Linked DNA regions of Elephas maximus indicus. The protein of the gene in region 1 purifies or fractionates together with the protein of each later gene. This does not show direct contact. Links are inferred from orthologs where the notes say so. Each region holds a gene or a part of one and is shown in the gene's direction. Other genes may lie near its edges.

The links.
Region 2: the proteins of PABPC4 (region 1) and ATXN2 purify together in Homo sapiens (affinity purification with mass spectrometry; 4 studies listed by BioGRID and IntAct, with this or other methods). This does not show direct contact. The link is inferred for Elephas maximus indicus from reciprocal best matches to the Homo sapiens genes PABPC4 and ATXN2.
Region 3: the proteins of PABPC4 (region 1) and PAIP1 purify together in Homo sapiens (co-immunoprecipitation; 3 studies listed by BioGRID and IntAct, with this or other methods). This does not show direct contact. The link is inferred for Elephas maximus indicus from reciprocal best matches to the Homo sapiens genes PABPC4 and PAIP1.
Region 4: the proteins of PABPC4 (region 1) and LARP1 purify together in Homo sapiens (affinity purification with mass spectrometry; 3 studies listed by BioGRID and IntAct, with this or other methods). This does not show direct contact. The link is inferred for Elephas maximus indicus from reciprocal best matches to the Homo sapiens genes PABPC4 and LARP1.

Annotation. Positions count from the first base shown.
Region 1 is NC_064821.1:81,201,699-81,209,818, reverse strand, and holds the start of PABPC4 (polyadenylate-binding protein 4), read left to right. Parts: upstream 1-5,058; 5' UTR 5,059-6,098; coding exon 6,099-6,291; intron 6,292-8,120.
Region 2 is NC_064840.1:9,932,434-9,939,572, reverse strand, and holds the start of ATXN2 (ataxin-2), read left to right. Parts: upstream 1-3,900; 5' UTR 3,901-3,986; coding exon 3,987-4,174; intron 4,175-7,139. UniProt on the Homo sapiens protein: Involved in EGFR trafficking, acting as negative regulator of endocytic EGFR internalization at the plasma membrane.
Region 3 is NC_064820.1:49,996,027-50,003,264, reverse strand, and holds the start of PAIP1 (polyadenylate-binding protein-interacting protein 1), read left to right. Parts: upstream 1-4,161; 5' UTR 4,162-4,410; coding exon 4,411-4,678; intron 4,679-5,255; coding exon 5,256-5,425; intron 5,426-7,238. UniProt on the Homo sapiens protein: Acts as a coactivator in the regulation of translation initiation of poly(A)-containing mRNAs. Its stimulatory activity on translation is mediated via its action on PABPC1. Competes with PAIP2 for binding to PABPC1.
Region 4 is NC_064820.1:170,907,484-170,915,306, forward strand, and holds the start of LARP1 (la-related protein 1), read left to right. Parts: upstream 1-4,748; 5' UTR 4,749-5,034; coding exon 5,035-5,476; intron 5,477-7,823. UniProt on the Homo sapiens protein: RNA-binding protein that regulates the translation of specific target mRNA species downstream of the mTORC1 complex, in function of growth signals and nutrient availability.

The DNA of each region.
Region 1 (8,120 bases):
ATGGATCCTGTTTCATTTTTCTGCAAATGGATATCCAGTTTTACCAGCACCATTTGTTGAAGAGACTATCTCTTTCCCATTAACGGACTTCAACCCTTTGTCAAAGATCAAGTGTTCATAGGTAGATGGATTTATTTCTGGGTTCTCAATTCTGTTCCGTTGATGTATGTGTCTGTTGTTGTGCCAGTACCAGGCTGTTTTGACTACCGTGGCTGTACAGTAGGTTCATGAGATTGGTAGTGTGTGAGGCCTCCTACACTGCTCTTCTTTTCCAGTAGTGTTTTACTTATCTGGTGTCTGTTTCCTTTCCATATAAAGATGGTGATTAGTTTTTCCATCTCATTAAAGATTGTTGTTGAAATCTGGATCAGGATTTCATTGTATCAGTAGATGGCTTAGAAACACTGGTGGTGTAGTGGTTAAAAGCTATGGCTGCTAACCAAAAGGCCAGCAGCTTGAATCCACCAGGCACTCTTTGGAAACCCTATGGGGCAGTTCTGCTCTGTCCTATAGGGTTGCTATGAGTCAGAATTGACTCAATGGCAACAGGCTTTTTTTTTTTTTTTAGATAGATTGCCTTGGGTGGTATTCACATTTTCACAATGTTAAGTCTTCCTGACCATGAACGTGGTATGTTTTTCCATTTATGAAGGTCTCTTTTGGTTTCTTGCGGTAACATTTTGTAGTTTTCTTCATATAAGTCTTTTATGTCCCTAGCTAGGTTTATTCCTAAGTATTTTATCTTTTGGGGGGCTATCGTAAAAGTTATTCCATTTTTGGAGTTCTCTTTGTTAGTGTAAAGGAATCCAACTGATTTTTGTATGTTAATCTTGTACCCTGCCACTTTACTGAATCCTTCTATTAGTTCCAGTAGCTTTCTTGTGGATTCTTTGGGATTTTCTATTGTAGGATCATGTCATCTGTGACTAGGGATAGTTTTACTTCTTCCTTACCAACTTGGATGCCCTTTATTTCCCTTTCTTGTCTTACAGCTCTAGTTAGGACTTCCAATTCAATGTTGAATAAGAGTGGTGATAAAGGGCTTCCTTGTCTGGTTCCCATTCTTAGGGGGAATGCTTTCAGTCTCCATTGAGAATAATGTTGGCTGTTTATGTGTGTATGCCCTTAATCATGTTGAAGAATTTCCCTTCTATTCCTTTTTTGGTGAGAGTTTTCATTAGGAATAGGTGTTGGACTCTATCAAATGCCTTTTCTGCATTGATTGAGGTGATCATGTGATTCTTTTCCTTTGTTTTATTTATGTGGTGGATTATAGTGATTGATTTTCTGATGTTGAACCATCCTTGCATATGTGGTATGAATCCCACTTGGTCATGATGTATTATTTTTTGTGTGCTCTTGGATTCTATTGGCTAGAATTTTGTTGAGAATTTTTGTGTCAATGTTCATGAGGGATATTGGTCTATAAATTTCTTTTTTAGTGGTGTCTTTGCCTGGCTTTGGCTTCATAAAATGAATTCCGAAGTATCCCTTCCTTTTCTATGTTCTGGAATAGTTTCACTAGTACTGGTGTCAACTCTTACCGAATGTTTGATAGAATTCTCCAATGAACCCATCCAAGCCAGGGCTTTTTTTTTGGTAGGTTTTTTTTCTTTTTTTTTTTTAATAACCTCTTCAATTTCTTCTTTTGTTAATGGATCTGTTTAGATTTTCTATCTTGGTTTGTGTTAGTTTAGGTAGGTAATGTGTTTCTAGGACTTTGTCCATTTCCTCTAGGTTTTCAAATTTGTTGGAGTATAATTTTTCATAGTATTCTGATACAATCCTTTTTGTGTCAGTTGGCCCCTCTCCTAAAAAGGATTTACCGAGCCTGTCATGCAGATCGGGGAGGCTCAGAGATGTGACAACCACTTGCCAAAGTTGTGCAGCCTGTCTTATTTCCTGGACTAACCCTCTAGGATCTCAAAGACCTGTCTGTGGGCAAGGAAGGGTCTTCCTTCCTGAGGGTCAGGGCCATTGTTGCTTATAGAAAATAGAGCTTTTGTAGGTAGACTCGATCTCCTGCTGGGAGGATGGGCTGGGTTTCACCTGCTCTTACCTCTAGACAGTCTCTTGATTAAAAGCACTTTGCACAAGTTACACACACAGTCATTTATTTACTTGGTTCTTATCGCTGTCCTCAATAAGGTCAAGTTGTTCTGTGATTGTTTAGCTCATGGTTCTGTCCACAGCACCCATAGCAGAGCCTGGCTCTCTGTATGAACCACATAAAGTTTGTTGAATGAGTGAACAAACAAATGAATCCAGTAGCCAGAGCTTTTACAATTCCACTGTACTGCAAAATTCTTGGCTGCACAAAGAGACAAAAAGGGCCACATAAGCCAGAGATGCCATCATCCTGAGACCAGAAGAACTAGATGGTACCTGGCTACCACCAATGACTGCCCTGACAGGGAACACAACAGAGAGTCCCTGATGGAGCAGGAGAAAAGTGGGGTACAGAACTCAAATTCTAGTAAAAGACCAGACTTACTGGTCTGACTGAGAGGAGGAACCCCAGAAGACAGGGCCCCCAGGCTCTCTGTTAACCCAGAACTAAAACCATTCCCAAAGCTGACTCTTCAGACAAAGACTAAACTGGACTATAAGACTTAAAATGATACTCGTGAGGTGCGTGCTTCGTAGTTCACGTAGATACATGAGACTGATAGGCGAGATGAAAAGGCATAAAGGGACAGGAGCTGGTTGAATGGACACGGGAAATCCGGGGTACAGCCAGAGATATTCTTTAAAAAATACAATTTGAACCAAGGTACTGCCCTGCTTACAATATTCAGCTCTATCCTCCAATCTCAGGATAAAGTCCTAAGTGTTTCAAGTCCTCCAAGAGCTGGTTGTCCTTCCTGCCTCCCACAACACCACAGTCTTGCTCCCTTGTTCCAGCAATACTCCTCCACTCAGGGTCTTCACTTAAGTAACTCCACTGTCAGCACACATGCAACTTGATAATAATAACAATTAACATTTACACGAGCGACTTATATATGTTAGCTTATTCTCATAACTCCATCAAGTGAATACCTTTATTAGTATACTTACAGACTAGGAATCTGAGGGTCAGAGATGTGAATGAGCTTGCTCAATGTCATACACGTAGTAAGTTCCCCTACTAGAGAGTAAGCTTCAGGAGGGCAAGGACTGTTTCTCTCTTGCTCACTAGTACCTAGAATTCATTTGTTTACTCAACAAATATTTATTGAACACTTAGTATGTGCCATGCTAGGCATTGTTCTAGGTCCCTGCTATCATGAAGCTTGTATACACTGGAGGAAAGACAGACACTGAACAGGTAAGAACATATATAAACAATGTTATTTTACATAATAACAAAAGCCTTATAAGGAGCCCTGGTGGCACAATGGTTAAGCACTTGGCTGCTAACCAAAAGGTCCTTGGCTTGAACATACCAGCAGCTTCTCAGGAGAAAAGACTTGCTCCTGTAAAGATTAGTACAGCCTAGGAAACCGTATTGGGCAGTTCTGCATTGTCATGTAGGGTCACTATGACTCAGAATCAACTCAGTGGTACACAACAACAACCGATAAGAGCCTTAATAAGCTCTGGTGGCACAACAGTTAGGTGCTCTGCTGCTAGCCAAAAGGTTGGGGGTTTGAACTTACCCAGCACTTTGTCACATGGAGTCACTAAGAGTTGAAAATCAACTCAACAGCACCTAACTAACAACAATAAATGCCTTGAAAACAGGCCAACGGGATAGTGTCATAGATGACAGTGGTAGGCTACTGTAGACTGGGTGGTCTGGGAAGGCTTTGCTAAGGACAGTACCTATCTACAGAAGGAGCACTTCATAAATGTTTCTTGATTTAATACACTAGAATATAAACTCCATGAGGAAGAGAGGGACTCCCACTGCCCTGACTCCCATGGTATCCCCCAGCACCTATCTCCAGCATTGGCATAGACAAGGCCATGATTAACTATTTATTTGAACAAATGAGTATATATGTTTTTTTCATTTCTTTACTTACATCAGTTTACATTCATCTTACATATTCATTGACTTACATTTTCAATGCAAGAGTGTGTGCACCTACTGATAATTTCTGTTTTTGGTTGTCATAATGATGGGGAAAGGAGTTCCCTGTACTTATGGAGGAATGGTTGCTATATACAGTAAAGCCTGCGAAAGTCAGAACCTGTGTACGGCAGACACCTGTCAGAGAAGGAAAACTCAAATATTTTCCACTAACAGAGAGCAATAAAAAAGTGGTAAGACTGCACCCTGTCAAAGGTGGAAAGCTTGTGAGACTCATAAAAACAAGGCAGTTCCATCGAGTTCTGGATCTCACAGGTTTCACTGTAGCTTGCAATGCATGGGGACAGTATCACATGATGCAGAATCGTTCCATATCCCACATGATTTTTCAATGACCTAACAGACCCTCATGCAGATGAAAAGTCTTTTTATAATTATCTAAGTCTAGATACTAACCTCTTTTACAGAGAAAGTATTTTTGCACTCTTAAATGTAAACTAAATTTTCAGACACGCCACTACCACGTAAATCAAAGAGTGATTGAGTTTTGTCTTATTGACGCTGTACTAAAGCTTGTTCTTTTCAGAAAATCACACCACCCATGGAAGCAAGTCTTTCTAGCTGTAGCATTGCCAACGACTCTACATTTAAGTCCTAGAATTATGAGAACTCAGTATATATTCTCATGTATTCTGGACCAAACATTTACATATTGAACCTATTTTTTAAATTATAAATTGTTATTTCTTCTTAATTTCGCAATTAGGCAATACATTGATTTTTAAACGTTATGCGCATGGGTGGTTAAATTATCTATGGATTCCATTCCCGGATGATGTGGAGAGGGGCTATAATCTATTTATTATGAAAAGTTGCCCTTGGGGTTGGTGAAAGCTCGGAGCGGGAGCGGTCCTCCACGCGCTAGGGGCCGCTGTGGCGCCGCGCGGCCGCCGGGTCGCTCTCGCGTGGCCGCCCCGCCTCGGGCCCCCGGGCCGAGTGGGCGGGCACGGCTGCGCCCAGGTCGCGAGGCGCCCTTCGACCAGCAGCGCCCGGGGCGGGCGGGTATAAATGGAGCGGTGGCTCCGCTGGCCGCCTCTCTCCGCCCCGGGTCGCCGCTGTCTACGTTGTTTTCGGGCCCAGTAGCCTGAAGAAAAAAAGATAAAAAAAAAAAAAAAAACGGAAACGCTTTAAAAATCTTAAAAAAAAAAGAATACGCGAATCTTCCTCGGAGCACCCGCAGGGAAGTCACTTTTGCACGCTTCCGGCCTGCCCCTCGCCCGCCGCCGCACTTTGGCGTCTGTCCGCCTCCGTCTGTCGGTCCCGTGGTGAGCAGCCCGTGCCCGCCTGCCCGCCGCCTGCCCGGGCCTGCCCTCGTCCACGCGCCTGCGCTCTGACCCTCGCGCGTCCGTCCGTGCTGCCCGCCGCCCGGCCCTGCCCGTCCGCGCGCGCCGCGTGGCAACCTCGGCGCCCGCCCGGCCCCGCCGGCAGCCCTCGCCCCCCGCGGGCCGGCCTCCCCGGCGCACCACGTGTCCGCGCTGCCCTTCGCGGAGCCCGGCGTGGGAGGCGGCTGCGCGCGCGCACGCACGCCCGCCTGGGGCTTGCCGAGTCGGCACCGACAAATATTTTGTTTCCCTCTTCTCCTGGCTGTTGTAATCCTAAACCGCCAGGAGCCCGGGGCCTATATTTATAGAGAAACGCGTCTCCCGAAGGCCGCTGTGGGCAGCATTTGGTTGCCTCTTGAAGAATTTTTAGAATTTGGAAGGGGATTCCCCATTTTAATATTTTTTTTTGAAATTTGGAGGTTCAAACCAGGACAGCTGCAAATTACAAACTCCCAGGGAGGGCCATATTGTTTTGAGCGCCTTTTGTCTGAGGTTTTGCAGAGTCTTCTATGAGCTGTCCCTGAACTCCTGTTTTCCGTCTTCTGTGTATCTGAGCCTACTCCAACGCCCCTTGGCTTCACTGTTGCCACCTGTGAGCCGCCGCGCGAGCCACGGCTCCGAGAAGAGCCCCTTTTGTGCTGTGGTGATCCCTAGAAGAAGTCCTCCTGGCGGGGCTCGGTGTGGTGGGGGGCGGGGAGATGAACGCTGCAGCCAGCAGCTACCCCATGGCCTCCCTGTACGTGGGTGACCTGCACTCGGACGTCACCGAGGCCATGCTGTATGAAAAGTTCAGTCCTGCGGGGCCTGTGCTGTCCATCCGGGTCTGCCGCGATATGATCACCCGCCGCTCCCTGGGTTATGCCTACGTCAACTTCCAGCAGCCGGCTGACGGTAAGTAGAAGCTATGCCTACAAAATTGGGACCTCAGGGAACCCTGGGACTTATCTAGGCAAGTCCCTACCTCCACGGAGAGGGGCATCAAGGCAGCATGTTGCCCCAAAAGCCAGTAGTGGGAGCCTCCTGTAAGGGTTAAGAACGCGGAGCCTGTCATCTTATGGGTGGAGTTCCTAGTATCACTTGCTAACTGGGTGACCTTGGGCTAATAAGTTGTGGAGGTAGGGTTGGAACCCAGGAAGACTGCATAAAGAGTGAAGCCACTGTCACTCTACTGTGTGTGTGGTTCTGCTCAGTGGGACTGGACTGTTAAAGCATCTGCCTGGTCAGTGACTATGGGCTTGTGCCCCTCACATGCCCACCAAAAAAGCAGGGCGATTGAAATACAATTCCCTGCAAAAACTTGAGGTTGCAGAACTGCTGGCCTCTCCTCCTCCCTTGACCTGGCCTGAATCCTTTGAGTTTTGGCCGATAAGGGCTCTTCAGGGCAGATAGAAAGCCAGGGAGCAGTTCTGTGTGGGGATTTGTATTAGTGTCCCCAGAGTTGCATGTGCAGCCAGTGCCAGGTCAGCTCCCCAGTCTGCATGTTTGCCACTGAGGTGGAAGAGTTCTTTGCCCACAATGGTGACCAGTTAGTCTGGGAAAGTGCCACCTGAAGTTTCACTGGGCTGGGGGCTGGGGCTGGTGAGCATTATCACCTTCCCTCTGCACAGTGATTGACACTTCCACTTCATGCCATCTGAAGGAAATAGGACTTCTGTGAAGGAAAAGGATCAGCAATTGGAGGCTAAGTTGGGACTCCCAGTGCAGTGCTCTGCCTGCCCCAGATTGGAGCAGTGGAGAGGTATGCTGCAGGCTGGCAGGAGTGAGACAAGAGGAAACCTAATCAGGGGCTGCACGTGACTCCAGACTAAGAGGGAACAACTGCAGAGACCATTACAGAGAGAAATGAACTGTTCTGTGGCAGAGTCCCTCCTTGGTTCACTGTTCACGAGGCAGAGAGTGTAACTTGCCCAGGATGCAGCTGAGACGGGGGAATTGGACTTGCCTTCTGAGCTGAGTTCTGTCTGGGGCCACAGGAGCACAAAGAAGGTAGCTCAGTGTGGCCTTTCTGGGGGAGGGGTAGTGGGTACATTCACTAGCCGTGGCCTGCCTTCTTGGCTCTTCTGAACAAAAGTACTGTCACTTAGAGATAGTAGCAGAAGCCATTGGTCAGTGTGTCTGCCAACACATACCTCTGCAGGACCTCTCCCTGCTATAAATAAGACAGCCAGATTTGTCAGACTAAGCCGACTTGCCTTCTGCAGTGCTCACGTGAAATAGAGAGGAGTCGTGTAGAAATGAGTCCCAGGCATGGGTTTCACATAATCCTCGCAGCCGACTCTCCTGTACCTGGACGTTTCCTGTCCTTTGTCTCCCTTTTCCATGCCTTAACTGAAGAGTGTGGTTGGAAATAACGAGGGAAAAGAAGACACTCCTTTGGCTGGCTGGACGCTGAACTTCTGGAGGGGAGAAATTAGGGAGTTGATTCTGCAAGACAGGAGAAAGCTCCCTCACTCTAGCCCTGTCTGAATCCCCTCAGGGAGGAAGTTCTAGGTGATGTCATTGCATTAGTGAAGTCACTGCTGTGAGGTTGTACTGTAAATCAGGTCTGGGTGTCCTTGTTGCTGCCAGTGAAGAAAAGTGTTCCTGGCTGGCAGCTTATTTTTACTTCTGGTCCTTTACATGGTCTCCATGGTGCAAACATCGACTTGGTTGCCAAACTGAGGAAAGGTCCCAAGGCACTGGATGACGAACTGAAGTGTGATTGGGCACCTGGGCAGTTG
Region 2 (7,139 bases), on another chromosome or scaffold:
TGGAATTCAGGCAAACAATTTGCAGTAAGAGAGATACCTTGGTTTTGGGTGGTGATCCTCTGTCCACAAAGAAAAAGGAGAAGGTATAAACTAGAGTTGACAGTAGAGATTCTTTTGGTTTCCATTTGAATATAAAAGCAGAAATCAAATTTTTAAATTGTGTTAAACATATATGTAACAAAACGCTGGCCATGTCAGCATTTTTTACATGTACAGTTCGTGAAATTAATCACAGTCATCTTTGTTCAACCCTTATGACTATCCATTTCCAAATTTTTCATTACCTTTAATAAAAGTTTGGTGGCCCCTAAGCAATGAGTCCCTGTGCTAGTCATCTACTGCTGCTATAACAGAAATACCACAAGTGGGTGGCTTTAACAAAGAGAAATTTATTCTCTCACAGTCTAGTAGGTTACAAGTCCAAATTCAGGATGTTAGCTCCAGGGGAAGGCTTTCTCTCTTTGTCAGCTCTGGAGGAAGGTCCTTGTCCTCAATATTCCCCTGGTAGAGTAGCTTCTCAGGTGCAGGGACCCTTGGTCCAAAGGATGTGCTCTGCTCCCAGTGTTCCTTTCTTGGTGGTATGAGGTCCCCAACTCTCTGCTTGCTTCCCTTTCCTTTTTCTCTCTCTTGAGATAAAAGGTGGTACAGGCCACACCTCAGGGAAACTCCCCTTACATTGGATCAGGGAGGTGACTTGGGTAAGGGTGGTGTTACAATCCCACCCTAATCCTTTTAACATAAAATTACAGTCACAAAATGGAGGACAACCAGAGAATACCGGGAATCATGGCCTAACCAAGTTGATAAACACATTTTGGAGGACTCATTTCAATCCATGACAGTCCCCCTTTCCTCCTCCCTCCTGCTCATTTGCCTCTAGTAACCACTAGTAAACTCTGGTCTCTCTATACACTTGCCTATTCTAGATATTTCATATAAGTGGAATCATACAATATTTATTCTTTTGTGTCTGACTTACGTCCCTCAGCATGTTTTCAAGGTTCATCCATATTGCAGACTTCATTTCTTCTTATAGCTGATTATTATTTCATTGTTTATGTATGTACCACATTTTGTTTATCCATTTATCTGTTGATGGATATTTGTTGATCCACTTTTTGGCTATTGTGAACAACGCTTAACTCAACATTGGTGCACAAGTGCCTTTTTGTGTTCCTATTTTCAATACTTTTGGGTACACCTGGGAGTGAATTATTGCTGAATTATTTGCTAATTCTTTATTTACCTCTTTGAGGAACCACCAAACTTTTTCCCACAGAAGCTGAAGCAGAATATCACATTTTGATGATAAACTCTCATATCTTCCTGGTGTTAATGCAAAGTGGTACAGCCAGTTTGGAAAATATCTTTCCAAAAAGTATCTTTAAGAAGTTAAATATAAATGTACCATAACCAAAAACCCAAGTCCATTGCCATCGAGTTGGTTCCGACTCGTAGGGACCCTATAATTTACCATGAAAAAAAAAAAACCACCCAGCAATTCCATTCCTAAAACTCTACCCAAGAGAAATGAAAACATATGTCCACACAAAGAAATATGTTCATAAATGTTCCTAGAGGCATTATTCCTAATAGCCAAAAACTAGAAGCAATCTAAATGTCCACCAGTTGGTAGATGGATAGATGTACAAAATATGGTTCATTCATGCAATGGAATACTACTCAGCAATAAAAAAAAAGAGTACTGATACATGCTGCAACAGGGCTGAACTTCAGAAACATTGTAAGTGAAAGAATCCAGAAACTAACGACTGCATACTGTTGAGATTCCATTTATATAAAATGTCCACAATAGGGACATCCATAGAAACAGAAAGTAGGTTAGTCGTCGTCTGGGCCTGGGGGTGGAGATGGAGAGTAACTGCAAATGGCTTTGAGGGATCTTTTTGGGGTGATGGAAATGCTCCGAAATCAGTGGTGATGATTGCACAGGTCTGTAAATTTACTAAAAGTAAAAAAATCAGACACTTAAAATGGGTGAATTTTATATTATGTAAATTATACCTCAAGGAAGCCATTGCAAAAATTGCACTGATAATGGATGGGAACTTGAGCTCTCTCAGCCTACATGAAATCAAGTTCAGCTATGTCAGCTTCAGGCCTTCTTATTCTACTTCCCTTTTTCTTTCCGTCTGCCAGGAGTCTGATGCTAAGATTGAATTCTGAGAACTTAGTCCCATATATTGCTGTCAAATAATTAAATCAACGAAAGTTGATTGTATCACTATTGTGGTTCTTTCTTTTTCCATCTGGTATTTTATTCTCAATTTCTTTGGGTTAATTTTTAAAGGATTTGTAACTGTTGGTTTAAAGGAATAGCTTAAATGGGGTGGGGGGGAGGGGGAGCTGACTTCCTAGTTTTCAAATGTTTGTGGAATACAAGGATCATTTTTACCTGGACTATCTAGGAGATTAATTTCATTTTGGCTATTAGAGATACCTGGCTTAATCATTCCCCCAAGTTTTTCCATATCTTTCTCTTTATCTGGACAACTCTAGGAGACAGAGGGGAATTTTGTTGCTTTTTTCCCCTGTCATTTCCTGAAATAATTTCACTTTTAAACAAACTAGATTCTTCACTGGGGGGGGGGGGGGGGAAGTCGTTATCTACTTGCTTCCAGCTTAATTGCAACATATGTAAAGAACTGACTACTGTGCTGGCTGGCGCCCTAAGTTAAAGTAAAACTTCTAAAGGGGCCAATGTCTAAAGTTCGCACATTCTTGTGAGGTCTGTTCTGTCTCCACTGAAGGAGACCCTATTATCCATAGCGCTACCAAATCACGTACATTTCCTTTTGAGTCTTATGAATGGAGGAAACGAAGTTCAAGTGAGGGGTAAAAAATGGGTTCAGACGAAGGTCAGGTACCCAAAAGAGTTTTCTGGTTACCGTGTTGCTGGAGTGGAAAAAGTGGGGAAAAGGTAACCAGATGTGGGTGGCCCCAAGAGGTTGCTCCAACCCCATTAGTTAGTCTTGGCAGGGAAAGTGAGCGCGGCCTGCCTTTGGGCCACCCAGTGCCACTTGAGGGCCTACTGTGTGCCAGGCACTGTTCGAGGTGCTTTCTACGTAGCACGACAGTCTCCGCCCTGCAGGCGCTCGCAAGCCCATTTTCTAGGTTGCATCAGGTGGGGGCCCACAGGGCTCCTCCAAGGAGTCTGAGGACGTTGGAGGAACACTCGGGAGGAGGGGGCCACTTTCCTCCTGTCCCCTGCACTAGGCCGACCCAGCAGGCGAAGACCGACACGCCCTCGCAGGAGGCCAGACCCGCCTCGAGGAGGGCGGACCCAGGCAGGGCCGGACGCCGGGCCCTCACCCGACCCTCGCAAACGCGCCCCAGCGCAGCGCCCGCTCCTCACGTGTCCCTCCCGGTCCCCGGTCGTCTCACGGAGTGCTTCCGCCCGACCCTTCCGACTTCCGGTAAAGAGTCCCCAGCTCCGCACCTCCGCGCCCACCCGGCACCGCCACCCAGTGTCTCGGCGTGCCCGGCCTCGGATGCGGTCGGCAGCCGCAACAACTCGGAGCCCCGCGGCGGCCGTCGAGCCTCGCCGTTTCGCCGCGGTCAGGTGGCCGGGGCGGTGCTCGCTCCCGCGGCCGGCGCGGCGGCGCGGGCGGGGCGGTGGCGGCGCGGCCCCGTATCCCTCCGCCGCCCCTCCTCCGCCCGGCCCCGGCCCCCCTCCCTCCGGGCAGCGCTCGCCTCCCTCCGCCTCAGACTGTTTTGGTAGCAACGGCAACGGCGGTGGCGCGGCCCGGCTCGGCTCCCGGCGGCTCATCGGTCTCAGCGGGCCTCCCCGCCCCTTCGTCGTCGTCCTCCTCCCTCTCGCCGGCCCCGGCGCCCCCCCGGCCGCGCCAGCCCGCGCCTCCTCGCTCCGCGCCCGCGCGTCCCCGCCGCGCTCCGGCGTCTCCTCGGCGCGCCCGGCTCCCGGCTGTCCCCGCCCGGCGTGCGGGCCGGTGTATGGGCCCCTCACCATGTCGCTGAAGCCCCAGCAGCAGCAGCAGACCGCGGCCGCCAATGCCCGCAAGCCCGGCGGCCTCCTCACGTCGTCCGCCGCCGCGCCGGCGCCGTCCTCGTCCTCGTCCTCAGCCACCGCGTCCTCAGCCGCTGCGTCCTCCTCGGCGGCGGCGGCGGCGGGCGGCGGGCGGCCTGGCCTGGGCAGGTGGGTGTCGGCGCCGAGCCCCCTCTGCCCGGGCCTGGACGGCCGGGCCTCGAGTCCCCTCCCCCGCGGCGCCTTTCCTCCCGTGACCGGCGGGGCCCGGGGGGTGGGCTGGGGGCCCGCGGTGGGGGCGGGGGCCTCTCGGGCTGGAGCCGAGGGGCTGGAGGCTCCCACGGGGCTTCTCGGCGATTGTCAGGCCGCGTCCAGTCTCTTGCACCATCCCCACCCCCTTCCCCAAACGGTCAAGATGGAAGGACCGGGCAGCCGCCTTCTCTCGGTTTCCACGCTCGGGGGGGTTCACAGGTCTCCGCAATTGTCAGCCCCGGTTCCGCCTTCTCTACGCCTCCCTCTCCTCGTGGGGGGGGGTGCTTGGGCAGCACCCCCACCCCTAGTTTAAATGTTGATGTTGGCGGGGTCCTGGAGCTCCCGAAACATGTCTTCTCCACCAGTGGGGAATTTCGGGGGAGGGGGGATTGGACAGCGTCCCCTCCTGTTGAAGGGCGCATCTGGGATCGCTGGGGTCTGTCCGGTCTCCCTTGACGCCCCTCTTCCCTGGCCTGGAGACGGTCGAAGGACGGGGCGGAGGGGTGGGCAGTGGCCTCCCGCCCCCTCCCCATTGAAACCTGCGATCGTGGGGCTCCGGGCCGTCCCGGGCAGCGTCCTCCGTCCCCTACCTGGGGCAGGGGTGGGACGGCCCTCCCCGCAAGGCCTCTCCTGCCGGGTGGCGGCCCAGCCGCATTGCTGTCGGAGGCCGCCGAGGAGCAGGCGCCTTTGAACAGGGTGGGCGAGGGCCGGGCCCCGCCGGGCCGCTGCGGGAAGCGGGCCGCTGCGCATTTTCTCACTACCCCCGCTTCAGTCGCCGGAATTTCGAGGGAAGAGGAATTGCCGCGGGGGCATGAAGGGCTCCTGAAGCAGAAATGCGGGTGTTTACTTGCGACCCCCGCCCCCTCCCCCTAACTCAGGCTTGTGGTGGGGGCCCGGGGGCTCGGTGTGCTTTCAGCGAACTGGCTTTGACTCTGGAGGGCGTGTTTGCGTGGGAAGGCCTGTTGGGGGTGGGGGGTGGCTGTCAGTTCGTATTTCATGAAGTAAGAAAATGCTTAGTGTTCAAACTGGGCAGCAAATGTCAATAGACTCCATTCCATTGTGGCCGGTGTCCTTAACTTGGGGAGTGCCGCCAGAGCTTACCAAGGGCACACAAGTCCATTTCCCCTGTGCCCCGGGCCCCTCCGTGGTGCAGGCACTGCCATGCCTCCCTTAGGCCTAGGCAGAACTGGCAAGGCCAGTGACCATTGTCCTCCTTAAATAGACATACTGGTCTTTCAAAGGTGGGCTAAGGGAGTTTTTCATACACTGAGTTTTCTTTTTGAAAACAAATTTTCAGCGAAATGTAAATACTCGTTTACAGCAGGCGAACTTTACCTATCCAGATGATTCAGAGCTGGTTTTTAAGGAATTCTCCCTTCAGAGGGGGGACAGTCACTTTTTTGGCTTCTCCTCCCCACAGTCCCACGGTTTCCCCTTCTCTGAAGCACCCACCAATGCTGCCTAGCCCAACAAGTTCAAATGAATGATAGTTTCTGCAGCTCTATACACTTAGCATTCTGTAACTTCAAGTTTCCCTTTTTCAGTGGCAATGATAGTGGAAAACATTTAAAAGATACAGTTTTATAGAAGAGGGTGCTTTTTTTTTTTTTCTTTTTAGGTTTTAAAGGTAGAAATATGACAGATACCTTGTTCAAATAATTAAAAATTAAAACTAAAGGTTTTAAATTGCATTTGCCCTCCCTAGGCTTAAGCATTACATTATTCAGAGTAGTTTGAATGGTCAAAGATAGCTGAAATGTTTTAGTAGTACAGATCTTTTTCTGTTCCTTAAGGCTTCATAAAAACTTAGAGTTAATTTCTTCCTTGCTTTAAATCCTTTTATTTGAGGTATAAATTGTAGCCTTTATTCTTTTTCCTAAATATGCAAAGTTTTGTTTAATGTGAAATTCACATAATGTGAAATTTTACTCTTGAGCACATCTTTAGTTAATGTACTTGTAGAGTTGCTTTTATGAATCACCTTTACTGGGTTCTTTGTAAACCAGTTACAATATCTAGAATCTCCTCACTTAACATTTGAATGCATCAGTGGTAAAATAAGTTTCTGAGCAGGGGTAAAGGCAAAGAAAAAAAGCATCATTGGGTTTGACATGGTTAAAAGGAGCAAAATATTCTTCAAAGCTTTGAAATTCATGTCTGTTTTAAATAGCATAACATATCATCAGATTTGATTTTTACTTTTTTGGTGAATAGTGGATTTTTATGGCCTTTACAAAATGATTTGTTCTGTCTTTTTCACATACTTTTGAGAAGGTGGATTTTTTTTTTTTTTAAGGAAAGAACAATGTAGCTACAATATTAAAATTGGAAAGTAATTTATTTTAACCCAATTTTTATTTTTGCCTTTTATTCTTCAGTTCTTATCAATGTATTTTTATGTTCTTGCATTGCTGATTGCATGTTATTTGTATTTAGCTTTTTTTTTCGTTAGTATTGATATGTATATATGGTTTCTACTCGTATTGTTGGCATTTGGGTTTCCGCTTTTTTGTTATTATAGATAATTGTGCAGTGAACATCTTTACACTAAAGCTTTTTTGCTTCAGTGTAGTTATTTCCTTTGAGAAAGTTCCCAGGAGTGACATTACGAGGTCAAAGGGCTTCAAGATTTTTACGGCTCTTGCTCACTGCCGAATTGCTCCTCAGAAGATTTGTATTAATTTCCAGTGCAGAGAAGGTGGATCTTCTTTAGAATGGCTTCTTTGTAGTTTGTCAAACACTGGAGGGCATTTTGAAGGGAAAAGTTGCCTTTACTGTGAAGTGCACACATTAAGTGCTTTTGTTAGTTACCTGATTGTTTACATTGGAGTTTGAGTTTGAATTTGTTTCCTCTGGGGATTTAATAATGTGTGTGATGGTGCTT
Region 3 (7,238 bases), on another chromosome or scaffold:
CACCGGTGGCAATCATTAATCTGTTCTCTATTTTTAGAATTTTTTTCATTTCAAGGATATTATTAAGAAATGTAATCATACAGTACTTAATCTTTCGAGATTGGCTCTTTTTTCACTCACTATAATTCCCTTGAGATCCATCCAAGTTGTTGTTTCTATCAATTTGTTCCTTTTTCTTGCTGAGTAGTAGCCCATGGTATAGATGTATCACAGTGTAATCATCCATTTGAAGGACATCTGGGCTGTTTCCAGTCTTTGGATATTATGAATAAAGCTGCTATAAACGCTTGTGTATAGGTTTTTGTGTGAACCTAAATACTCCTGATAAATGCCCAGGAGTACAATCACTGGGTCATATGGTAATTGTATGTTTAGTATTTTTAAGAGGCTGCCAAACAGTTTTTCAGAGTGATAGTATCATTTTTCATCCCCACCGGCTATGTATGAGTGATCCAGTTTCTCCACATTCTTGAAATCATTTGGTGTTATTATTTTTTATTTTAGCCATTCTGATAGTTGAGTAGTGAAGTCTCATTGTGGTTTTCATTTTTATTTTCCTAATCCCTAATGATGTTAAATTTTTTTTCATGGGCTTAAATGCCACCTGTATGTTCTCTTCAGTGAAATGGTTGTTCATGTGTTTTGCCCATTTTCAAATTTAATTTTTTTTTTACTGTTGAGTTTTGAAAGTTCTTGATATGCTCCAGATATGTCCTGTTGAATATGTTGTTTGCAAATATTTTTACTCCATATTTATTGTATGAAAACTTTCTCACACCTTTTGGACTTATAAGGCTGCACTGTCTAATCCTACAAGATTTAATCCTGAAGTCACTTTAAGTTCTCCTAGGTTTCTGAAAACCAGTCTTCCTTCTACCTTCACTATACTGGTAAACCAAGTCAAGTCAGGACTTTCGCAAGTGGGTCCTACTACAGTTAAAAGCTGTTATGTTCCAAGTACTGGGCTAGGATATGAGGGCATAGAGATTAAAAGGCATTCTCTGACCTCGTTATGTAAGCCAAATATTAACAATCCAGTATACTAAGTGCTAAGACAGAGTTTGTCCAGGGTGCTAGTATCAAAAAAGAGGGAATCTAAGATTGGGCTGCTTGAGGAAAGCTTCCAGGAGGACACTTAAGTGGAGCCCGATAGGTTAAGAGGTGAAAGAGGTAAGATTTCCCAGGCAGCAAGGTGCATTTATAAAAATCATGAAGGCATGAAATAGCTACGGACATGAGGATAGTTTAGCAAGCATTGCTAAAAGGAGGTAGGGGGAGAATATGTGAGGGAGTGACACATGATTAAGCTAGAGAGAAAGGCAAAGGTCTTGTTCTGGGTGTAAGGGTTTCACTTCATTCTGAAAGCTATGGGGAGCTATTGAAAGATTTCTAGCAGTGAAGTGACATAATCAGATATGATTTGTAGAAAGATCATCCAGCAGCTGAATGGAGGATAAGTTAAAGTATTAATACTACCAGTTCTTCTCTTAAAAGTCAAAGCCTCCAGAGCGGTAAAGGCAGAGACAAATCTGGCTTCGGGAATTGGAAAATTTCATAGACCTCCTCGCGGAAGTAGGCAGAGCAACATTTCATGACCAGCTGAAAGAAGGAAATCTTTCCCATAGTTGACAGTGGTCCTGTTCCCATTTTACAATATATTTTCCGAACTCTCTGAATTTATTCTTCCTATTCACTACACATTAATAAGAAAGACATAAAGGTAGGGGAGGAGATCTTTTGATGATTCTCTTCAGGGGATTCCATACAGTGCTTATATTTTTTTAATGTGTCTGTGTGTGTGGCCTCTTGGCATTTTGCAATACCTAACACCTGCTAGTCAGCCCTATATCAGTCTGCAGGTGGATTTGAGCTTCATGATATCTTGGTACTTCTTCTGTAAAACGGGGATAATCAGAAAGTCTACTTCACAGAGTGTGAGGATTAAATGAAATAATACAAATAAAGCTCTTGGAACAGTGCCTGACACACAACAATAAACATTCAGTAAGTGGTGATTCAGTGTTAGAATTGTCGCCTTCCACGAGTAAGATCCAAGTTTGAATCCTGATAACATGTTCAAAGTACGAGAGACAACGTTTTGCCATTCTCACTTCTAAGGAGTATCAAGGCACAGTCACCACCCATCTGTCTGTGGTGGCTTGAGTGTTGTGTGATGCTCGTTTGCTCACTCTTTTTGAGCATACAGCTTGAGTCTTTCCTTTGTAACACAGAAGTCCAGGCAAGAAGAGACTGACGACCATATAAAATAATGGATGTTAAAGTACTTTGAGCATCAAGTCATGTAATTTTAAAATTGTAAGCTTGTCAGTCTAGCATTTGTAATACATGCTCAGTGCTATAAGATAGTTATTTTACAGATGGGGAAACCAGCTTACAGAAGCTAAATCCCTTACCCAAGATCACACAGCCAGTAATGGTCAAGACCCAGATTCATCTGAAGCTGCAGCAGACTTTAAAACCTACAAACCACATACTGCCTTCCTTCCCTGACTTCATTATTTTGGGCTAACATTAACAGCATGACTAATTTACTCACAATTATCCTCATTAAAGCCATTCTTCTCATTCATTTAGATCAAGACTTTAATTTTTTTTATTAGCAAGAACAGAAAGTGGTTAACATAATTTTTTGTTCCTAATTGGAATCATTGTCAAATGAAAAGACTGAAAAACATCATTCCAAAAAACCAAACCCAGCTTCTGACTCATAGCAACCCTACAGGACAGAGTAGAACTGCCCCTTAGAGTTTCCAAGGAGCACCTGGTAGATTCAAAGTGGTGACCCTTTGGTAGCAGCCATAGCACTTAACCACTACGCCACCAGGGTTTTTCTATTTCTCTTCCTAATCAATCTCTCTGTCCTGTAAAGAGTATTACAGTTTATGCTTAAAATACAAGGCAACGATTAGAATTTGTGGAGGTGGATAATCCAACAGAAGGAAAATGGATTCCCCCCCCCTTTTTTTTTGTCATTACTTAACCCTTCATTTGGCTTTAGCACCATCAGGCCTGACAAAAATATCATTTTACACTTAAATACCTAGAACTGCGCTGTTCAATGCAGTAGCCACTAGTCACGTGTTACTGAGCACTTGAAAGGACGCTAGTCCAAATACACATATGGTTTCAATTAGTAAGAACATTTCATTAGTGTTACATGTTGAAATGATAATATCTTTGATATACTGGGTTAAAATTTATTATTAAAATTAATTTCACCTGTTTGTTTTTGCTTGTTTGCTTGTGGCTTCTAGAAAATGTAAAACTACACAAATGGCTTGCATTATATGCCTATCGGACAACATTGGTAGCATATAAAAAGAAGGAAGAGTTTCATTCAACGGTAGTGTATTTTCTGAAAATTTCTGGAGGGGCAGAGAAAAGGGAAGATATTGAAGCTTGTGACAAACCAAACCAAATCCTCCGCGGCCCAATCCATTCTGGCCCTGTAAGGAAGCGGAGGCCTGCCCCGTAGGGTTTTCCAAGGCTGTAAATCTTCACAGAAGCCGACTGCTACATTTTTTTCTTCCACAGAGCGGCTGGTGGCTTCGAACCGCCCACCTTTCAGTTAGCAGCCCAGCGTTTTACCGCTGAGCCACCAGGGTTCCCTTCCGGAGGTAAGTACCTAACGGGAACTGAAAAGGGTAGGGGGCGTATTTTGAACGTACTAGTCCCCTCCCCCGCTGCTAACGAAGCAGGTGGCAGAGCTTCTTCCGGAGCTCGGCTTCCCTGCCAGTCCTGGGCTCTCGGCGGGAGCCTGGTCATTGAACACACCTGCGCGCCCACGGTGGTGCGCGTCCGCGAACCCTGGCGCCGGGGCCACACCCCCTCCCCCCGTATTTTTATTTTCCTGGCATCAACCGTCAGTCTCGCACTTGTCTCCTGAGAACCATCGAATAGATCGGGCCTAACTGGGGTAAGCGTCCCCATCTCCCCCCCGAGCCGGGCCCCGGGAGTCGAGATGCCTCCGCCCGGTCCCCGCTGCCCAGCAGGGACGTCCTGCGGCCGAGACGCCGCTGGCCGGGCAGCCTGCTGGACCGCAGCAGCCTGCCCTGCGGGACAGTAGGAATCGCAGCGGGCGCGCCCCGGGGCCTCCGGACCGCGGGGGGCCGCTGTGACCCGCCTCGCCCCCGCCGCGCCGAAGGCGGTGGCGCCGGATTTTAGGGGAGAATAAAAGCAGAGGGTAGCTCTGGGGGGCGGGCGCTGTGGAGTCGCGGGTGCTCAGCCTGCCGTCCGTTCCGCCTGAAGCGCGCAGGAGCGGAGCCGGGGCCCGCCGCCCTCCTCCTCCATGAGGCCCGAGTGAAGCGCAGCGGCAAGAGCCGGCCTGCGCTGCTTTCCCCCGCGGCCTCTTCCGAGCGCAGCGGCAGCGGCTCCGGAAGGAGGAGGAGCATGTCGGACGGTTTCGATCGGGCCCCAGGTGCTGGTCGGGGCCGGAGCCGGGGCCTGGGCCGCGGAGGGGGCGGGCCTGAGGGCGGCAGTTTCCCGAACGGAACCGGGCCTGCAGAGCGGCCGCGCCAGCAGCCGCCGCCGCAGCCCAAAGCCCCGGGCTTCCTGCAGCCGCCGCCGCTGCGCCAGCCCAGGACGGCTCCGCCGCTTGGGGCCCAGTGCGAGGGCCCCACCGGCCCCCAGCGGCCTCCCCGGCCCGGGGCGCTCCCAGGTACGGAGGAGCTCTAGGGAAACCCCGTCCTCCCGGGCCAACGCCTCCCCACGGGCCTTGCGCTCGCCGAGGGCCGGCGGACTCTCCTTCCACCCCCTCCCCCCAATTCCCCGAAAGCATCCCCCGAGGGGCCCGGGTGTTACGGGGTGGGGATGGGCGCGGGACGGGGCTTTGGAAGGTGGCCACTGGAATCCTTTGTGCGCCCCGGCTGGGGGAGGGGCCGGTGCGCGGTCTCGGAGTTCTGCCACCCAGGGGAGGAAATAAAAATTGCCTCCCCCTGCCCGGTCCTCTAAAGTAAGACGTAAGCCGAGCTACCACTGCATTTGAAACGGCTCCTAAATAAAAGAAAAACCAAAACCCTCAAGCATTCATTTGGGAGGCAGGTAACGCTCATAAATGAGCTACAGCCAAGTCTATTGTTCCTTTTTGCAGGCTCTTTGTGAGTATCCCGGAGATGACCTTACATTTCGTGATGATTTTTAAACTCTTAAAGAGTTAAAAGAGATGACTTTTTAGTATATACAAAGTCATTACACAAAAGAATGAACGAATCTAACACTCCTTTTTATCTTCTCAGAACAAGCGAGGCCCCTGAGAGCTCCACCTAGTTCACAGGATAAAATCCCACAGCAGAATTCAGAGTCAGCAATGGCCAAACCCCAGGTGGTTGTAGCTCCTGTGTTAATGTCCAAGCTGTCTGTGAACGCCCCAGAATTTTACCCATCAGGTTATTCTTCTAATTATACAGTAAGTACTCCTTTTTACTAAAACTCGGGGTTAACATTAACTGGAATAATGTGATTATTAACCGGTATGTTGGTGCTTTTTGTATTTTACGTAGCTTTATTATGAATTCATGAGGAAACAAAACTTTGTAGTTATTATATTCATGGTCTCAGAATGTAAGCTTGACAATAGGACTTTTTTGTGGTTTTGTTCAGTGCTGTTTTGCCAGCATAGGCAAGTAAACCTAATTGATGTCAAGGAAATTGTCAATCTGTAAAACTAGAATCCGTTTCCAGACTTATGGACAACTACAAGATAGTAGCCTGACAAAGTTGATTTTTAATTTGATTTTTGTAAGATAAGTGAATATTTACTAGTGGCTTTAGGATAAATTAAATAGTGGCTTTGCTTAAGTTAATTTTGAGGTAGGCTTTTGAATGTGAAGAAGTGCACATATGGGTGAGAAGTACACATCTGGGTCCTTGTTTTTAGTAATTATTATTCTGTCATCTTAAAATGGAAGTGTTTCTGGTGCTACATACCTATTGTATGCAGAAATGTCGCATGGGTTTTTGATAAAGTTTAAATAGATATAAAGAATTTTTAAACATTCAGATTAACCTTTGACAGTGTAAGAATTTTTTTACAAATGGTCAAACTTTTTCTAAACAGCAGAAGAAAGCACAAAGCCCAGTTTGGAATATGTAGAAAGGAATCCGTCATGCTAAGTAAACCAAAATGAGTAAATGAGGAGAAATTAAGTGGGGCAGGAACCATGCTCCTAAGTTGAAGAAATAATCGATAATACTATAGCATAATTCCTATTTTTCATATCTTCTTAAATTTATTGAAGTGTATAACATATAGAATGGAAACCTTGGTGGCATAGTGGTTAAGTGCTACAGCTGCTAACCAAAGGGTCAGAGTTTTTAACATATAAAACTATAGAATAGAGTGTATAGGGTATAGCTCAAAGTTTCACCAAGTGAGCACCTGGGTAACCAGCATCCAAATCATGAAGCAGAATGTTACCAGCACCTCAGAAGCCCCCTGGTAATGACTACCATTCTCCAAGTGTAACTGCTATTTTGACTTAATAGAACAGATTAGTTTTGCTGCTCTCAAACTTTACATAAATGGGAACATACAGTATATATTCTTTTTGTTACTCATTTTGTAGCATGTAATTAGGTGGTTTAGCCTCATAGCATTTTATTGAATGAATATGCCACAGTCTATCCATTTGTCTGTTGATGAACATTTAGCCAGCTTCTAGTTTGGGGGCCGTTACGATTAGTGCTGCTATTCCTACTCATGCCCTGGCGGACATATGCCCTTATTTCCATTTTTTTTTTTATATACCTAGAAGTGGAATTGCTGGGTCACGGGGTAGCACTATGCCCAGCTTTAGTTGTTAGGTGTTGTTGAGTCGATTCCAACTCATAGCGACCCTATATACAACAGAATGAATACCACCTGGCCCTGTGCCACTCTCACAATTGTTGCTATGTCTGAGCCCATTGTTGTAGCCACTGTGTCAGTCCATTTCATTGAGAATCTTTCTCTTTTTTGTTGCCCTTCTACTTACCGAGCATGATGTCCTTCTCCCGGAACTGGTCCCTCATGATAACATGTCCAAAGTATGTGAGAGGAAGTTGTGCCATCCTCGCTTCAAAGGAACTTAGAGACTACCTACCAAATACTATAGTTTTTACATAGAGATTATTCCAGTACACACTCTGAGTATGTGTGATTTGCAGTTGTTTACTTCCTCTTTAGTACTTTGAATTTTCTGTTGTTTAAGGTTAGCCATTCTGGTGGGTGTGTAGTATCT
Region 4 (7,823 bases), on another chromosome or scaffold:
AGATAAGCAATACAATCCAAGTTCTTCCAAAAACTCAGGAGAAAGATAAGCAATACAATCCAAGTTCTTCCAAAAACTCAAGGTCTTTGGAAAATCAAACACAAAGAGGAATAAAACTGCACATCCAAGTGTGTTAAATGTTCCTTCCTAGTAGGCACTGGGTTGGGCTGGGTTAGTAAGGATTAAATGAAATAACTCAAGGGACCATCTCTCCCCCTCATAAAAAGACAGAATAATGTTTTATAGATTAAAGAGCACTTGCATCTTTCTTCACACCCATAAGCCGGATGAGCAGGTATTATGCATCCCGTTCTGTGGATGGAGAAATGAAGACTCAGGAGGCTGCTCAAAGTCATTCAGCAAACCAAGAAATGGGGCCCAGGTTATAAACCAGTTCTCCCAGCTCTCTAGTCCCTCATTTGGCCTCCTCTGTTTCTCCTCAGGAAATTGTCTACACTAGGGGCAAAGAAGCACACAATTAATTACAAGTAGGTATTTGGACCCACTTTATCATTTTTATTTTTTTGGTTTGATTTTGTCATTGTTTTTTAAGTCCTGGCCACAAGCCAACTTGTTTCCTTGTCACTTTCTGTCTAAAGCATATCTTATCTTACCTTTTTCTGGCCTGAGGTCACATATTGCTTAATTACTTAAGTCCCCCCAGTTAGAGTTTACCTTTTAGAGAGACAGCATTCGACTTTTTAGTATCTTCCCCAGGCCTGAGTAGTTAATGACTTCATAAATACTTGTGGATGTGACAGTAGAGGGAAGGGAGGTAGTGTGGTGTTGTGGGTAAGAACAAGACCAGGGGAGTTAAACCGCCCTGGAAAAACCTTACTCCGATACTCAGCTGCTAGCTGTAACCAGGCACCCTTCTCACTTTCTTTTATGAACTTCAGTGGCCTTCCATTGTAACTGAAGATAATAACAGCTCCAGGGGCTGGCCTGGTGCCTGACACCTAGTAGAGGCTCAATAGATTAAAAAAAAAAAAAAAGATACTTTGCAATAATTAATGCCTATCTCATTAAGTATCTTAGTTTTTTAGTGCTGCTGTAATAGAAATACCACAAGTGGGTGGTTTTAATGAACAAAAATGTATTTTCTGGCAGTTTTAGAGGGTATAAGTCCAAATTCAGTGCACTGGATCTAGGGGAAGGCTCTCTTTCTGTTGTTCTGAGGGAACATCTTTGCCTCTTTCAGCTTCTGTTCCTTGATGATCTCCAAGTGGCATTTTCCTTTCCCCTTTTTGCCTGCTTGTGTCTACTCTGCTATTTTTATAACTCAGAAGTGATTACTTTTAGGACACACCCTACACTGATAGGGCCTTATTAACATAACAAAGAAAACCCTATTCCCAAACAGGATTACAAGCACAGTGGTCAGGATTCCAACACATATTTTTTTTTTAATTGTGCTTTAGGTGAAAGTTTACAGCTCAAGTTAGTTTCTCATACAAAAATGTATACATACATTGCTATGTGACCCTAGTTGCTATCTCTGTAATGTAACAGCACACTCCTCCTTTCCACCCCTGATTTCCTGTGTCCATTCAACCAGCTCCTATCTCTTTCTGCCTTCTCATCTCACCTCTGGACAGGAGCTACCCATTTAGTCTCATCCAACACGTATTTTTGAGGGGCACAATTTTATAACATTAGGTAACTGTGAGGATTAAATGAGATAATGAATATCAAGTATTTCTCACAGAACATGCCATATAGTAATTGTTCAATATAAGTCGTTAGTTGCCATCAAGTTTATTCTGATTCACGGCGACCACTTGCATTCCGAGAACTGTGTACGTCATAGGGTTTTCAAGGCTTTGACCTTTTGGAAGCAGATCACCAGGCCTTACTTCCAAGGCACCTATGGGTGTCTTTGAATAACCAAGTTGTCAGCTGGTAATGCAGTGCTTACCCATTTGTTAACACTCTTAATTATTTGGTCATTATTAATATTTAGAAATGAATGCACTCATGGAATGACATAATGGGCCAGGAATCAAATCACCTGAATTCAAACCCCAATTCCATCATTTTGTGTAGAACAGCTCCGTGACTTAGGATCAAGAGATTTGGGTGTAAGGCCTGGCTCTGCCACTGACTAGCTGTGTGAGCTTGGATAAGTAGCTTCATTTCTCTGAACTTCAGTCTCCTCAACTGCAAAACAAAGACATTAAGCAATCATTAAGACTCCTCCTCTAACAGCCTCTAAATTCAAGATGTAGTCTCATGTAGGTATCTTGCCTTTTCTGGGCCCAGTTTGCCCATCTGTAAAATGGCGCATCGGTGTTTAAGGGCCCCTCTCTGGGGCAAGCCTGGGGGTGTATGGATCTCTGTGCCCTTCCAGTCTCTACATAACAGGGTCTGGCAGTGCTTGTTTGGCTCCAACTCTGACTGCTGGGTAGCATGAACCAGTTACTTGTCCACACAGAGACCTGGCCCCCTTACAAGTTGTTTGGGGGCCATCCATGACCAACTACAGAAATGTTGGAAGAAAGAGCCAACAACGATGACTATGTTCCTTTTTACAAAGTTCAGAGAGGTTTTGAGTGAATAATTTTTTTCAGGAAATATTTATCAATAAATAAGGGTAGGGAAACTCTGGTGGAGTAGTGGTTAAGTGCTACGGCTGCTAACCAAAAGGAAGGCAGTTCAAATCCACCAGGCCTCCTTGGAAACTCTATGGGGCAGTTCTACTCTGTCCTATAGGGTCGCTATGAGTTGGAATCGACTCGATGGCACTGGGTTTGTTTTTTTTTTTTGTTTATTAAGGGTAGACTATGAGTCGGAATCGACTTGACAGCAGTGGGTGGTGGAAGGATTAAGGGTAGATATAACACAATTTTGAAGAATGTGCTTAGATTGTGATCCCTTTAATCCTTACCTTCCTTGGTACCTCTTTTTGAAGCATTTCATTTGCTTCCTCAAAAAAGCCCACAGGGTGAGAACAAATCAGGCATTATGTATTACAATTTTTACGCCAGGAAAGGGGGCTCCAGGCAAATGTACAGAGCAAGTGAAGGCAGGTGCTAAGTTATGGGAGAGCTTGGCTATCCCCACCAGCACTTCTCCCCAGTACTCCTGGTTACAATGTACAACCGAGACTTCCCAGGTGGAGCAGTTACAAGAGTCTTCTCTGATAAATCCTCTCCCCTGTCCAGCAGGTCATGTGTTCTTATTTTGGAGATCAACATTCCTGGCTTTTATGTCTTAAGTAGGTAGATCTCAGCTCTGTTAAACCTGGACCACCCTCAGAATGCACAGGACACAACTTCTCCAAGTGAGGCATGGGACCACCTGGTGTAGAAGTTCTAAGGGTATTATGTTAGACAAACAGATTTCTGGGTTCAATTCCAGACCATGCCTGATTTTTCTAAACACTTTGGAACCTGTGTTCAGGGAGGTGTTCCCTCATCAAACTAGAAGGACAAATCTGTTCTAGCCTATTACTACAGTTTATGCATTAATTCTACACAGGAACTTGTTTATCATTTTTGTCTTTCCCCACGTTTAGAATGTAAATTGCTCCATGAGGCCAGGGACCTTGTTAGCCTGGTTTATTACCAAACCCTGTTTCCTAGCACTGTAGAGACACCCAGAGCACGGAGTGAATAAATATTAACTGAATTGAATATACACTAAAGCATGAAACCACTGTCATAGACCATTTCTTCATTTTACAATAGGGAAACTGAGGCCTACGGTGGGGGAAACTGACTGGCAGAGTTCATAAGAGGCAAGACCAGGACAAAATTTCAATCCCTAGAGTCTCGAATCGGCACTAGTTCAACTCCTCCCAAAGCAACTATGTAGAAACCACAATCCACTAGAAAGAAAAGCTGTTTCCTGCTCACAAATACTCAGAGGCTTGACTGGAGTGAGGACCTTGGTAATTCCACTCCCACATCCTAGGCACCCGAAGCGCCCAAGGGCAAGGGCCCGCCTGCCGGGCCTGGAGTCGAACCCGGTCCCCCGGCAACGTCCGGGTCAGCCTGGAGGGGAGAAACCCAGCGCAGCCGGTGGAGTTGAAAGCGGTTTGCCCAAGGTCACCCATGCGGGGCCTGGAAAGGCCAGGATAGAGGGATGCGGAGAGGGGGCGGTGTAGGCGCGACTTTTGGGAGGATGCGGACCCTCTACCAGCATCCTGGGAGGCGGGGGTGACTTTTATGGCTCCTTCCCCCGAATCTGACACCCAACCTAAAGAACGAGAGCAGGCCGAGCCGGCCGCGTGGCCCATTCGCATGTGCTCCACCTGCGGCCTCTCTCACGCGCTGGCCCTTTAAGAGTCCTCCGTGTTCTCTCCCCCGTCTCTCCTACCCCCCCTGGATGCGCCCCCCTCTACCGAATTGCATCAGGCACGTGCTCGCCCCCGTCCTGTCTGAGCGCCCCCACCCCAGCCAGGGAGGTGCACGGAGGACTTGGAGGCGAGGGGCGGGGCAGGACGAGGGGCGGGGACGCGAGGCCGTTCGCGCGCGCGCTCCCGTCGCCTCCGCCGGCCCGTCGCCAAGGGCTGGCCTCGGCGGGCGCGCTCCCGCTGCGTTGTCCCCTCCCCTCGCCCGCCGCGCCGCGAGGCGCGCGCCCGCCCGCCGCCTGCCGCGGATCGCGTGGTCTGCTTGGCTCGCCGCGCCTCTCCCCCGTCCGTCCATATTGCTGCAGCCCCCGAGCCGGGAAGCCCGGGCCGCCCCGGGGGCGGGGGGGAGGGAGGGACGGGACGAGAAGCCCGCTGAGCTTGGGGTGGGGGCGCCTTACGAGGAACGGGCGGGGGGGGGACGTGCGCCGAGGCGGCCTGGACCGCAGAGTGGGGGGCACTCCTTCCCCCACCCCCCCCGCCCCGCCAGCGGGCCTTGGATCTACGGCGGCCGCATCCGACCGGAAGGGGGGGCCGCGCCTAGCGTGAACCCCGACCCTTTTCTGCAGGGACTGGGGCCCAGCGCCCCGGAGGAAGGAGTCGCGGGCGTTCTGCGAGCCAAGTTCGAGGCGGGGGAGGCAGCCTCGGGCGCGCCCGGCTTCTCCGGGGGGGCGGGCGCGCAGATGGCCACTCAGGTGGAGCCGCTGTTGCCGGGGGGCGCCCAGCTCTTGCAGGCCGAAGAGCACGGGGGGCTGGTGAGGAAGAAGCTGCCGCCGCCGCCCGAGGGCAAGGGCGAGCCTGGCGCCAACGACGTCGGAGTGGGGGAGCCGGACGGAGGCACCCGGAGACCCCGGCCGCCCTGCGCCAAGCCGTACAAGGAGGGCACCGGGCAGCAGGAGCGCGAGAATCTGCGGCCGCTGCAGCCGCTAGGCGCCGAAGGCCCGGCCGTCAGCGACGGGGAGGAGGGCGGCGGCGGCGAGCCGGGCGCTGGCGGAGGAGCAACCGGAGCCGCGGGCGGCGGCGGACGGCGAGACTTCGTGGAGGCCCCCCCGCCCAAGGTGAACCCGTGGACTAAGAACGCGCTGCCGCAGGCCCTGGCCACGGTGAACGGACAGTCCCCTCCAGGTGGGTCTCCCAGCCTGCTATTCTGGGTCCGGGGGCCTCTTCCGGGGACATTGGCGTCCCCTCCCCCAGCGGTTTCCAGGGCCCGGGGGTCCGCCACGAGTCGTGGTGCCTCGTTTTTTTTTATTTGAATTGTCTCACGCCTCGTTCGGGTCGTGGTGCCCTGCTCCCGCCGCACACTCGGGAACCTGTTCCTGCCTGAGGCCCGGCCTCCCGGAGGCCACGGACACCGCCTGGGCCGCAGCGGTTAGTGGGCAACGGCGTGGTCCGGGCCTACCTCACCGGGAGAGGGTGGGCGCTGGCTTCGGTGAAAATGGCCCTGTTTTCCCCATCGCATGTTGGTGTAAAAGGCGGTTTCTGGTTTAAACCTCCCTTACTCGGGAAGCCCCCTCTTCTCACTCCGCCCCACGCTCCCCGTTTTGGTAGCGTTGCAATAGTCCCCATGTTGTAAATGTTTAATGAGCATATGTCATGGGCAGCAAAGCACTCAGCGATGAGTTCACACCGAGTATAGGGATTCGAGATTTAAAAGTTAACAAGTTTTGTTTTCGAGTAGATGATAGTAGGCGGTAGAACCGCCATTTGGAGACGGGTTGAGGGGTCAGTTACAGGGAGAATGGGGCGACGAGGAAACCCAACGTGTCACTGACTTCGGTAGTTTCCCTCTCGGATCCCAGGGGCCTTCCGCCTTGAGAGGGAGCCGATGGCAAATGCGGGGGGATCCGTTTAGGGGGTTGGCGGAAAATGTGAGACGAGTGAGGGGCACGCGGCGACACGAGGGGCTTGCGGCGGCGGGGGAGGGAGTGGCCGGGCTGGGCGGGCGGGTGACAGTTGGGCGCCATGCGCCTCGCCCGCGACTCGCGGGCTGCTTGCGGCCGCACGGCCTCTGCGTTCCGCGCGGGTCGTCGCGCTCCGGGTGACTGGCGGGTGCGGGCCGCCGGCGCGGCGCGTCCTGTAGTGTGCGTGTGCGCGAGTGTAAGTGCGCGTCTCCCCCTTCCCGGCATTCCTCCGCAGCCGGGACAACGTGGTGCCTCCCCGCGCGGGGAGCGGCATGTGACCGGCGGCCGGCGCTCCCGGAGCTGGGGCCCCGAAGCTGGGGCCCCGGGCGCACCCCGAGTCTATCCTTCCACCTCCCTTTTATTTTTTTCTTTTTGGACACTGTCCTTTCAGAGGAGTGTGCAGGAAATCCCAGCAGAGCCTCGTCAGCGTGAGGAGAGAAGCGGTGCAGAATATGGAGCTTGCTTTTGGCCTCCTTTTACCGGGAATAGATCTTCAGCTTGAATGGGGCGCACTTCCCGTCCCCGCTTTGCTGGGACTCGGGGGGCACAGTGGGCCTCGATTCTTTAATTCTGGGCCCTTTTGATGTGGGCCAGTGTTAATACCTTGTTTGCAGTTAGAATGATGGCCTGTGGCCTTAGCCCTAGTGTTCTTTCAAAACTCCGTTTCAGAGTGCTGGCTGAGGCAGTATGGTTTAGAAGATCAAAACGGGGAAAGTTGAAGGGGGAGCTTTATGCCTTCATATCAAAGGGAGTAAGATCACTCCTTTAGTCTTAGGGAAATTATGATAACCAAACCTGAAAATGGCATGTTGCAATTTTTATTTTTTTCAAGGTTGCTTCATTTAGGGGAGGGGACATTTAGGGTTTACTAATAATGCCTCAAACCATGTTCTCTTCCTTTTGCCCTCCTCCTCTTCCCCCATGCCCCTTCTAGAACCCTCTTATGCAAAGGGCAGTGCTGAAACCTCCATTTTCTTACAAATCCTTCCCTGATCCACCCACAGAGGGAGGGAGAGCAACTTTAAGACACTCTTTGGTCCCTCCCCGCGCCCCCCCCCCCACCTTAAACTCAAAGGGGTATAATCATCCCCAGGAGAGAGAGCACTCTTCAGAAGTTTAAATTGGGCTTCTCACCTCGGGCTGCTGCTTAGCTAATGGTGAATCTGCCTTGTGGCTTTTAAATCAGCCGTGATATAAGGTGGTATTGAGTGCCTGAGCTGGCATTTTGTGTAAGTCCAGGGGCCCTTGATAGGTCACTGGGATTATTGATTGTGGGAAGAAGACAACTTGGTTGGCATCTTGCTTTCCCCTCTGAGTGGAAGAGCAGACTTGTTTGAAGTACCCAGAGCACAGTTCTGAGTGGGGTAGATTTGCCGTGTTCTTGTCTTCCTGGAACTTTAAGGCAAGAGTGTTGATCTTGTACCTTTGGGGTAGTGTTTGACAGATTAACTCCAAATTAATCCAGTAGCCTCTCTGTTTTAAGCCTGTTGTTAGGGCTTGGGTGCTTTTTAAGAGAAAATTCTGTGATTGGACTGTCTGTTGGGTGATTGGATGGTGGCTTTCTCTGGAGT